Linked DNA regions of Sus scrofa. The protein of the gene in region 1 interacts with the protein of each later gene in a pairwise test. Links are inferred from orthologs where the notes say so. Each region holds a gene or a part of one and is shown on either strand. Other genes may lie near its edges.

Region 1 (5,197 bases):
TCATAATTTAAACAAATCGAAAACTTCTTTTAAACAACTGTATCAAAGAGCTATTCAATATACTTATTAACTTTAACTTTCCATAAAAACCGAATAAAAATCACATTTGAATGATTTACTTTTACATTTTTATCTGATTATATCCATCAGATGTACTAAACATCCAAGCACAAGAGGCAGATATCTTCTGAGAGGTGCAAGAGGTGTTCTTTCATGAATGCCCTCTAAGAATAGTGAAACAGCAATTTTTATATATGCATTCATGTGCATATATATATGTACTTCAAAAAGCAAAGCGTCATCTCTTCGTCCATTGTTAACTTAATGGTAAGACTGCAACAGAAAAAAGAAAAAGTAAACTTCTAGATTTCGTAAATGGAGTTTACTAACTCCTTGCTGTGGCTTAAAATAAAATTTATTTATTGCTTAATAAATCCAAACGGCAAATCATCACTTATTCTGGCATACAATTTAGAAAAAAAATTTTTAAAGACTATATAATAGCAACTTAAACTAATGAAAAGAAGTTGAGGGCCCTTTAAGATTTTTTTCCATTACAATTCAAGTGGATGACTGATTAATATGGTTGGAGATATGATTCATTCTTTGTTAAGAATAAATAGATTTTTTTTCCCCCTAAGAATCTGGCTTGGCTCAGTTCACGGGGAAACAGGGTGCTTTTCTATTTGGTCATATGTTTGAGACAGGGTCCTCCACTAAGGTATCAACCCTATTCTAGCCTGGCTGACAGTAAAGCATATGGCATTATATATAACTGGCAAAGCAGAAGAGTGGTATAACCTGGAGCTCAACGCTGCTAAGGATCTAACAAAACCTTGACCGAGAAACACTACAGGCAGTTGTATCAAAGAAGGGCGACATCACACATTCACTGCCTTGGATTCTCTTTAAAAAAAAAAAACAAACTACCTCTATATCCAGCCAGAATGGCAGAGATTACTTTTATTGAACTTTGTGCTTTGCTATGATACTAGAAAACATTACTGAGAAATGTTATAATTTTAAAAAGTCCAATGAAATACATCTGAGTTTACCCGATGAATGCTATTTGAGGACATTGCTCACTACAGTACAGTCTTTGGGGAAGTTTCTTATTTTTAGTATCAGGAATGTGTAACTTGTGCTTTCATCCTTTTAAATGTTTTACCCAAAGTTCATCTGAAGCTTGAAATTTACTCTTACTTTATATACAGTTTTTTGGTTTTGTTTTTGTTTTTTTTAAAAAGGTTAAAAAGCTTTCTAATCTTCCATCCCAAACTGGAGACAATCTGTCATTTGTGCTTATGGGACTATTAGTACATGTTAAATAACAAATTAAACACTCACATGGGGGCCCCCAGGCATCGGTGGAGCACCAGAAGGTCCTGAAGGCACTTGAAAAGGATTACTGGGAGCAGGATAGAGTCCTGGTGAGGGATATGATCCTGCAGGGGCAGGATATGGCCCTGGTGGTCCCCAGGCTCCTGGGGGAACAGTGCCCCATGGAACAGGAGGTGCTGCCCCTGGTGCTTGGGGAGGAGGAGGAGCAGGATATGGCCCTGGAGCTGGATATGGCATATTAGGGGTAGGATACTGCCCTCCCATTCCTGGTGCCCAAGGTCCAGAAGACATGGATCCCCATGGACCTAAAGGACCAGCTGCAGCTGGATCTGTGGGTGCACCATATGGTCTTGGAAGCTCTGGAAAGGGCATATTTGGTGTAGGATAAGGCCCTGTGGGGCCAGGGCCTGGCACAGCTGGGGCTGGATAAGGACCACCAGGTGGGGGGCATGATGGTCCAGAAGGAGGAAAGGGTGCTGGGGGTCCTGGAGGTGGTCCAGTGGGAGGCACAGAGGGATACATTCCTGTTGGTGCTGGTCCAAAAGGCACAGTGGAGGGTGTTGCACTTGGTGGGAGTCCAGATGGCACAGAAGGTGGAGCACTTGGGTTATTCCAAGGGCTGGAACCTGGCCAGCCTTGAGGAGGTTGGCCAGGTTTTGTATTGCTCACAGCAGAGGTTTTGGCAGGGGAGTGATCAGGTAGTGCATCTGCCAACTGGAATACAAAACAAGCATGTCTTACTCATCTCATTCAGGGACAAGTAATGCCAAACATGAATATAAACCCATAAAGGTTTAGGGATTCTTCAAAAGCCAATTTAAAAACAACTTATTTAATACAAAATTTGAGGAGTTACCTTGAATTTCAGTTTTACAGTGCAAATTCCACAGAGAAACTCAAGTTTGCTAAATACAGCTGATCAGCATAGTGTGAGCTGAATCCTGGTTTTAGTTCAAATAAGTTATATACCCTTTCTGAGCTTTGGGTTTCCTCATTTTCAAAACAGTATCTTAGGGCTAACTTGATGCTTAACAAGATAACTCATGTAATGCACTTAATACAGTGCCTGGTATATAATTTTCAACAGATGTTGGCTATTATTAACATCAGGATAAGAGGACAGACTTAACACTTTAAGGAGTTATAAAGAAATAAACAGACAGAATGCATTTTCAAACACATTAAAGCTAAGTAAATTAAGGCAAATCATCTATCAAAATCACATGCCAAAAAAAAAAAAAAAAAAAAAATCCAAGGATCACAAAAGCTATTTCTCTTAAACTTATGGCCCACAATCAGGACCACGCCTTTTTTTCCTAAGAGCCAAAAACCTATGAAGAATAAATACATCAACTTACCGAAAATTCATCAGACATTTTCCTAAAACAAAACAAAAACAAAAACAAAAAAAAAGAAGGAATATTTCAAAACCAGTGTTTACCATTTCTTGTATATTCTTTAAGTAACTTTCTATCATTTTAACTTAAATGGAATCTTAATCACTTATAATTTCTATAATAGTTCATTCATACAGCTCTATGAACTTCATCCCTTTTTAATGGTTGCACATCACATAAAAGTGATCCATAATTCAGTTTACACTCAATTTGGTGGCAGTTTAGATTGTTCACATTTTGAATTGTTTTAAATAACAACACAATGAACATCTCTCAACACATCTTTCTGAGTCTATCATCAGGGAAATGTACTAGAGGTGAAATATATAATCGACAGGTAAGGTCATCTAAAATCCATCTCAAAAAGCCCATGCCAGTTTACACTATCCTTTTTATTCTTTTTGTTTGTTTGTTTTTAGGGCCACACCCTCGAAATCTGGAAGTTTCCAGGCTAGGGGTCGAATCATAGCTGTTGCCACCAGCCCACACCACAGCCAAGCCAAATCCAAGCCTCGTCTTTGACCTACACCACAACTCACGGCAATGCCGGATCCTTAACCTGCTGAGCAGAGACTAGGGACTGAGCCCTCATCCCTGTGGATCCTAGTTGGGTTCGTTAACCGCTGAACCACAAAGGGAACTCCTACACTATCTTTTTAAAATTCCCCTTCATCACCGGATGTTATTAAATTTGTAAGTCATTTTCAATTATGATAGGTTAAAAAAACTGGCATCTTGTTGTTTTAACTTACATAATTAGGTGGAAAGCAGAGCATCATTTATATTTAATACCTCATTTAGACTTCTTTTTCTGTGAATATGCTCATGGCTTTGGATTATGTTTTTCAATCTTTAAAACTCAAGTACAGGAGTTCCTGTCGTGGCAGTGGTTAACGAATCTGACTAGGAACCATGAGGTTGCGGGTTCGGTCCCTGCCCTTGCTCAGTGGGTTAAGGATCCAGTGTTGCCGTGAGCTGTGGTGTAGGTCACAGATGTGGCTCAGATCTGGTGTTGCTGTGGCTCTGGCGTAGGTTGGTGGCTACAGCTCCGATTCGACCCCTAGTCTGGGAACCTCCATATGCCGCGGGAGCGGCCCAAAGAAATAGCAAAAAGACAATAAATAAATAAATAAATAAAACTCAAGTACAGGAATTCCCATCATGGCTCAGTGGTTAACGACTCTGCCTAGGAACCATGAGGTTGCAGGTTTGACCCCTGTCCTTGCTCAGTGGGTTAAGGATCCAGAGTTGCTGTGGTGTAGGTCGCAGACGTGGCTCGGATCCTGCATTGCTGTGGCTCTGGTGTAGGCCGGCGGTTACAGCTCCGATTCGACCCTAGCCCGGGAACCTCCATATGCCACAGGAACGGCCCTAGAAAAGGCAAAAAGACAAAAACAAACAAACAAAAAAACCTCAAGTACAATTAACTCCCAATAAAATGCATGGATTAGTGTTCAGGTCAGTAAGCTCTGACAGTTGTAAATTCCCCTATAACCATCTGAGATATGGAACATTCCCCTCAGTCCACAAGGTTTGCACAGGCTACTTTCAAATCAATTCCCTCTTCCAACTCAACAGTCACTTTCTTAGTTTTTGCTTGTTCCTTGATTTCATAATAAATTAGACAGCAACATACTTTTTTTTTTACTTTGATCATTTTACTACTTAGTAGTACATCTTTTTTAGTGCTTTCTAACACATTAAGGAAATTAGCTGTCTGTCATTTATGAGAGAAAAAAAGTTCACCTATGCTTTCTAATAGTATTTATATGGTTTATCTTATTTAAAATCTTTCTTTCCAATAATAATTACTGAATAATCTATCTTTTCTCAATTGACATAACAAGCTACCTTTAACACATTCTACACCTGCTACTGACAACAAATACTGAATATATATCATGGAACAGGTACCGTTAAGTGTGTTAGGTATATAATCTCATTTAGCAGCTGCAGATTCTATCATCATACCCAGCTGACAGCTGTAGAAAAGGAAGCTTAGCAAGTTAACTTGTTTAAGGTCACAGAGCTAGGGACAAGCAGAGAAGCGACTTAAACGCAAGTATAATCCAGAGCCAAGGCTCTTAGCCACCAGACTGTAGAGCCCCCATCATTTCCCATAGGTATTGTGAGCTTTATTCTTTTCTAATTCACACTATAACATGTCATCTTATTAGGGCAGCTTTATATTTTTAACAGATTTTTATGACCTAGTATTGCTGTCTTTCCAGATTTTCCTGAAAATTCTCATGCTTATTTTTTCCAGATTATTTTGTTTAAAAAAAGAATCTGTTAGCGTTCTAGTTGAAACTGCATTAAATTTACAGATTAATTTAGGGGACATTTGATACATTTAAAATATAAAATATTCTCATTCAAGAATAAGGTATGTCTTCCTAGTCCCAACATTATCATTTATTACTCAGTGGTTTTTAAAATCAAGTCTCCTACAAATTTTT
Region 2 (5,197 bases), on another chromosome or scaffold:
GGAAAGGGGGCCCAGCTTCGAACCTCCGCGCATGTGTTGACAAGCTTGGTGAACACGTGGCGTGTCCCTTCCATCCTGGCCAGAGGTGTTCCGGCTGGTCACTGGTGGTCCGGCTAAGCATGAAAGTGGGTCCATCTTAGAGGCGTTTGCCAGGTGCCCATGAAGTGTGTGGCTGCAGGTCTTGGGGCGCCTGAGCCCCGGAGTGGCTTCTGGTGGCGGTTCTCCGAGTTAGCCACCCGCTCAGCAACCTTCCCTTTGCCACAGCCGCCGACACAGAGCATGACGCTGGGCCCCGGGGGGCTGTCGCAGAGCGGCTCCAGCCAGGGCCTGCACGCCCAGGGCAGCCTCGGCGACGCCATCGGCGCGGGCTTGCCGCCCTCCTCCCTCATGCAGGCCCAGATCGGCAACGGTGAGAGGCCTGGGTGCAGTGGGTCGGGGCTGGCTCCGGGGCACAGGGTCACTGCCGAGGGTGACAGTGGCCGGCTGCCGCCATCCATGGGGGACCTCGGCCCCCTGGAGGTCCTGCTGCAGGTGCATGCGTGCAGTGAAACATGGGGGCACAAAGCCGTCATTCCAGGTCCTCTGCTGGCACGGCAGGGCGGGGGCACGTGCGGGCCCCTGACAGGAACGGAAGTGTTCTGTCCTTGGGTTAAGAACCATTAACAGGCGTCAGGAGCTATTAGCAGCAGCATCGTGGGGAGCAGGCAGCTGCCCCCCTCCTGCCCCCGTCGCAGTCACGTGCCGGATTCCCAGCGCCCTTGACCGTGGTCAGCCTCCCTCCCACGGTGGCCGGAGGGAAGCGAGCGAGCGTGAGCGGAGGCAGGGCCGCCGTCAGAGGGTTCAGATGCCCCCCCCCCCCCGCCGTCCCGCAGGCCCGAACCACGTGTCGCTGCAGCAGACGGCGCCGAGCACGTTGCCCACCACCTCCATGAGCATGTCCGGCAGCAGCCACGGCTCGGGGCCCGGCTACAGCCACTCGGGACCCGCCTCGCAGAGCGTGCCCCTGCAGGGCCAGGGCACCATCAGCAACTACGTGTCTCGGGCCAACATCAACATGCAGTCCAACCCAGGTACCGCCCTGCCCGGCCCCACCACCCTCCCGCAGGTGTGCAGGCAGCTGCCCCGGGGACGGAGCCCGGGGGCGCCGGCCAGGTGGGTGGGGGGCTAGGTGGCTGCCCGTGGCGGCTTCAGGGAAGGCTCTGGGGAGGGGTGGCATGTGCCCCACTGGGAGGACAGTCTGGGGCTCCCATGGGTGGGGAGCCGGCGTGGCCAGAGTGCAGGAGCGGGAAGCAGGCAGGGCCAGCTGAGGGGCCAGGGGGAGCCCCGTGAGCTGGCTGTCCACCGTGGCAGTGGCTTGGGACCTTGGGCATTTGGGAAGCATCAGGTCCAAACGGGGATGGCCCCGAGTGTCAGGCAAAGTCCAGAGAGGACCTGAGGCGCCTCCTTGGTTTATTGAAAGCGATCTACTTTGGATACGTTGAGTTGAATAAAATATGTTGCTGCACTAGCTTCCACCTGTTTCTTTTGGCTTCTCTTTGTGGCTCCTCTCCCGTTGTGCTGGTCGGCCCTGCCCTAGAGGGTCCTGAGCAGGGGTGACAGGAAAGGACAGGCTGTGACAGGGCCCCTGCCAGGGGCCTTCGAGGCCCGGCTCTGGGGGTGGGAGTGACACACTCCTCGGGGACCAGCCTGGGGGAGTGAGGGCTGGCATTTCACTCACGTTTTATGAGTCGCCCAGAGGTGCACTGGCCGGAAGGGTGCTGTGGCCTCGAGAGGCTGGCCTTGGTGGGGGGGCCCAGGCCGGGGAGGGAGGCGCTGCCCCGGGAGCTTCTCGGGGTTATTCGGGGTCTGTCGTGTCGCCCAGTGTCCATGATGCACCAGCAGGCGGCCTCGTCCCACTACAGCGCGGCGCAGGGCGGGGCCCAGCACTACCAGGGCCAGTCCATGGCCATGATGGGCCAGAGCGGGCAGGGGAGCGGCATGATAGGGCAGCGGCCCATGGCCCCCTACCGGCCCTCCCAGCAAGGTAAGGCCCGCCCTCAGTGCCTCTGTCTCCGTGGGAACCGGTGGGGGGTGGCACAGAGCCCTGGGCTGTGACAGAAGCCGGTGCCGTCCCCTGGGTGGGTCAGGTGCGAGCCCCCGTTGGGGGCGTGTCCATGGGGGAGCGGGGCCGGGATGCGAAGTCTGGGGTACCAGGGGCTGGATGGGTGGCAGAGGCCTGGGGTCCCCTGGGCGGGCATCCCCCAACTGGTGGCCCGCTGGGGAGATTCTCGGGTGCAGGAGTTAACTCCCAGTGCTGTCTCCCAGGCTCGTCCCAGCAGTACCTGGGTCAGGAGGAGTACTACGGCGGCGAGCAGTACGGCCACAGCCAGGCCGCCTCGGAGCCCCTGAGCCAGCAGTACTACCCCGATGGTGAGCTGCGGCGGTCCCAGTCCAGACCCCGTCACCCCAACACCCGCTGGCAGAGCTCACAGAGCCCCCTTTGGGGCTGGGGTGGGGGCGGCCACCCTGGGCTGGGGGGTGAGGTCCTTTGAGTGGACGGATGGAAATGCCTTAAAAAGTGGACATAAAAGTTGTGAGTTCCCTGGGGTGCAGCAGCATCTGCAGTGTCTTGGGAGTGCTGGGACGTAGGTTCAATCCCCGGCCCGGCACAGTGGCTTGAGGATCAGGCGTTGCTGCAGCTGTGGCCTAGGTCATGTCTGCGGCTCGGATCTGATCCCTGGCCCGAGAACTACACAGGCTGCGGGGCGGCCAAAAAAAATTGTGCAGCGCCTTCGGGACGGTGACAAGCCTGAGCTGACTGTCCCGTGTCCCTCACCTCCCAGCTGCTCGGTCAGTCTCGGCAGGCTCTTTGCCTTTTCTGGGTCACCGTTCAGGCATCTTTAAGTAGTCTCAGGTTTTGTGGAGGTGCCATTTAAAGTGGCCGTAGAGGCTGGGTGGGATCTGGGGAGGACCCCAGGCAGGGAACGGTGTGAGCTGGCCGGCTCTCGGTGTGGGTGGTAGGGAGGTGGTTGAGGCCAGTGCCAGGCAAGCCGTGAGCCCTCCGTGTAGCAGTGACCAGGCCTCGTGGGGGTCGTGTGCTCCTGATGGGATCCCACAGAGCAGTGTGGGACAGTGACCACGTAGTGACGTTAAGAGCTGCGGACGCCGCCCTTATCCAGCTTCACGCGGCCCCGGGAGCAGGGGGGCCGCGTCCAGCTGCGACTCTCCTGACCCCAGCGGCTGTGTTCCTGGCTGTCCCTGCCAGGTCTGGGTGGTCAGGGCCCTCCGCTGACTGCAGGGTGTCCCCGTCTGCCCACAGGACACGGCGATTACGCCTACCAGCCGTCGTCCTACACAGAGCAGAGCTACGACCGGTCCTTTGAGGAGTCCACGCAGCACTACTACGAGGGCGGTAAGGCGGCCGCGGGCTCCTAGCCGGGTGTGCCCGGGGTCTGGGGCGGTGTCCGCCAGTGCCTACGTGTTTCTGAAGCAGGAGGGCCTCGGGGTCCAATCCACCACCTGGTCGAGGCTCAGCCTCCTCGGTCAAGGCCATCCGTTGTTCTAAACTCGGGTGGGCGGCCGGCAGGGACCCAGGCGCCCTGCCCCCTCTGGACCCGAGCCGCTGGCACGTGTGGGGGGGTGTTGCTGCAGTGGGGGTGGCCTGGGCATTGCTTCAAACACCTGCTGGCCGATAAGGCGCATCTGGGGGTGGGGGTGGTCCGGTGCAGGGTCAGATGGAGGTGAGGCCACGACGTGTTGGCCGTGGCCGCCTGGACAGACAGCCCTGCTCGGTAGTGCTCGCCCATTCCTCTGCCGTAAGCGCTCCCAGCCCCACTGACCTGAAGCCGTCCAGGTGACGTCCCTAAACATAGATTTGGGAAGAAACAGGCACAGGTGATTCACAGCGGCTGCCAGCTGGCCCGTCGGGTGGAGGGACTTCCCAGCGTCCTCAGGAGGCCCCCGAGAAGAGGGCATGAGCGCCCAGGGTGACGTGATGTCCAGGTACCCACCTGGGTGTCGGGAGCAGGGAGAACGGAGGGGCTGCCGGGGGTCCTGGAGAAAGAGGACAAACGGTCCATGTGGGACGGGTGCCTTGAAAAGTCGCGTTTGACTTCCGGGGTGATGTTTTCCTAGCGGTAAAATCGCAGAACAAAACCGACCGTCTTAACCATTTTAAGTGCACGGTGCAGGGGCGTTAAGTGCGTTCCCATTGTTGTGTCCGCATCCCTGCCGTGGTCTCCGAACCTTCTCAGACCCTGGCCCCCGCCTCGCCCCCGGCCCCCGCACTCCTCTGGGTCCCTGGGGGGGGGGTCACACAGGGTTCGTCCTTTCCCTCAGCAGCACCTCTCCAAGGTCATCCATGTGGGAGCAGGTGTCAGAACTGCTTTCCTTTCTGAGGCAAATTGACCACATTCAACTTGCCCCTTCATCTGTTGATGGGCCCTTGGGTTGCTTCTCCTTTTGGCGATTGTGAGTCGTGTTCTAGGAATGTGGGTTTACAAACATCTCTTCCAGGTCCCGCTTTTGATTCTTTGGGGTGCAGGCAGACCTCTCAGATATTTGGCTCGAGACCATCAGGATAAATCAGAAGTTGCAATAGAGAAAGTCACCTGAGTTTTTTGGTTTCACAGTATATACAAAACTAAAAAAAACCCAATGTATTTAACTTAATTTAAAAATAAAAACCCTGGGAGTTCCCATTGTGGCTCAGCGGTAACGAACCTGACGGGCATCCATGAGCATGTGGGTTCGATCCCTGGCTCTGCTGAGTGGGTTAAGGATCCAGGGTTACTGTGAGCTGTGGCGTAGGCCGGTAGCTGCAGCTCCGGTTCAACCCTGAGCCTGGGACCTTTCATGTGCTGTAGGTAAGGCCGTAAAAAGAGAAAAAGTAAGAAGCGAGAGTTCTCGCGCGGCCGGGGTGCTGCAGGTGCTCTGCCGAGACCCTCTGCACCCCTGCGGACGTGGCGCTGCGAGCGGCTCAGCGTCTGCGGGCTGCGCTCTCCCACCTGCGCGCTGTCTCTGCGTCCACAGCGCCCCCTGCCTGCCGCGGCCGCGGGGGCCGCAGGCGGGTGCTGTCCGGTGGCTGCACCCCGGCCCCGCTCTGCTCTGCAAAAATCCACAGACAAAGCTGAACGGAGAACAGTGGAAAACGGCACTGGAACAGGGCAGTGAGCAGTTTTGCACAGGAAGCTTTGGGAGGTGGTGCCTGCAGTCCGCC

Evidence for each region. The genes of interacting proteins can lie anywhere in the genome.
Region 2: the proteins of MAPK1IP1L (region 1) and SS18L1 interact in binary tests that used the Homo sapiens proteins (3 or more experiments, as listed by UniProt). The two-hybrid records come from large-scale screens. The link is inferred for Sus scrofa from reciprocal best matches to the Homo sapiens genes MAPK1IP1L and SS18L1.

What each region holds. Positions count from the first base shown.
Region 1 is NC_010443.5:184,407,263-184,412,459, reverse strand, and holds part of MAPK1IP1L (MAPK-interacting and spindle-stabilizing protein-like), read right to left. Parts: intron 2,722-5,197; 5' UTR 2,718-2,721; coding exon 2,700-2,717; intron 2,056-2,699; coding exon 1,348-2,055; intron 334-1,347; coding exon of another isoform or gene 322-333; exon of another isoform or gene 1-321.
Region 2 is NC_010459.5:61,581,144-61,586,340, forward strand, and holds part of SS18L1 (calcium-responsive transactivator), read left to right. Parts: intron 1-264; coding exon 265-409; intron 410-872; coding exon 873-1,070; intron 1,071-1,861; coding exon 1,862-2,023; intron 2,024-2,304; coding exon 2,305-2,409; intron 2,410-3,298; coding exon 3,299-3,391; intron 3,392-5,197. UniProt on the Homo sapiens protein: Transcriptional activator which is required for calcium-dependent dendritic growth and branching in cortical neurons. Recruits CREB-binding protein (CREBBP) to nuclear bodies.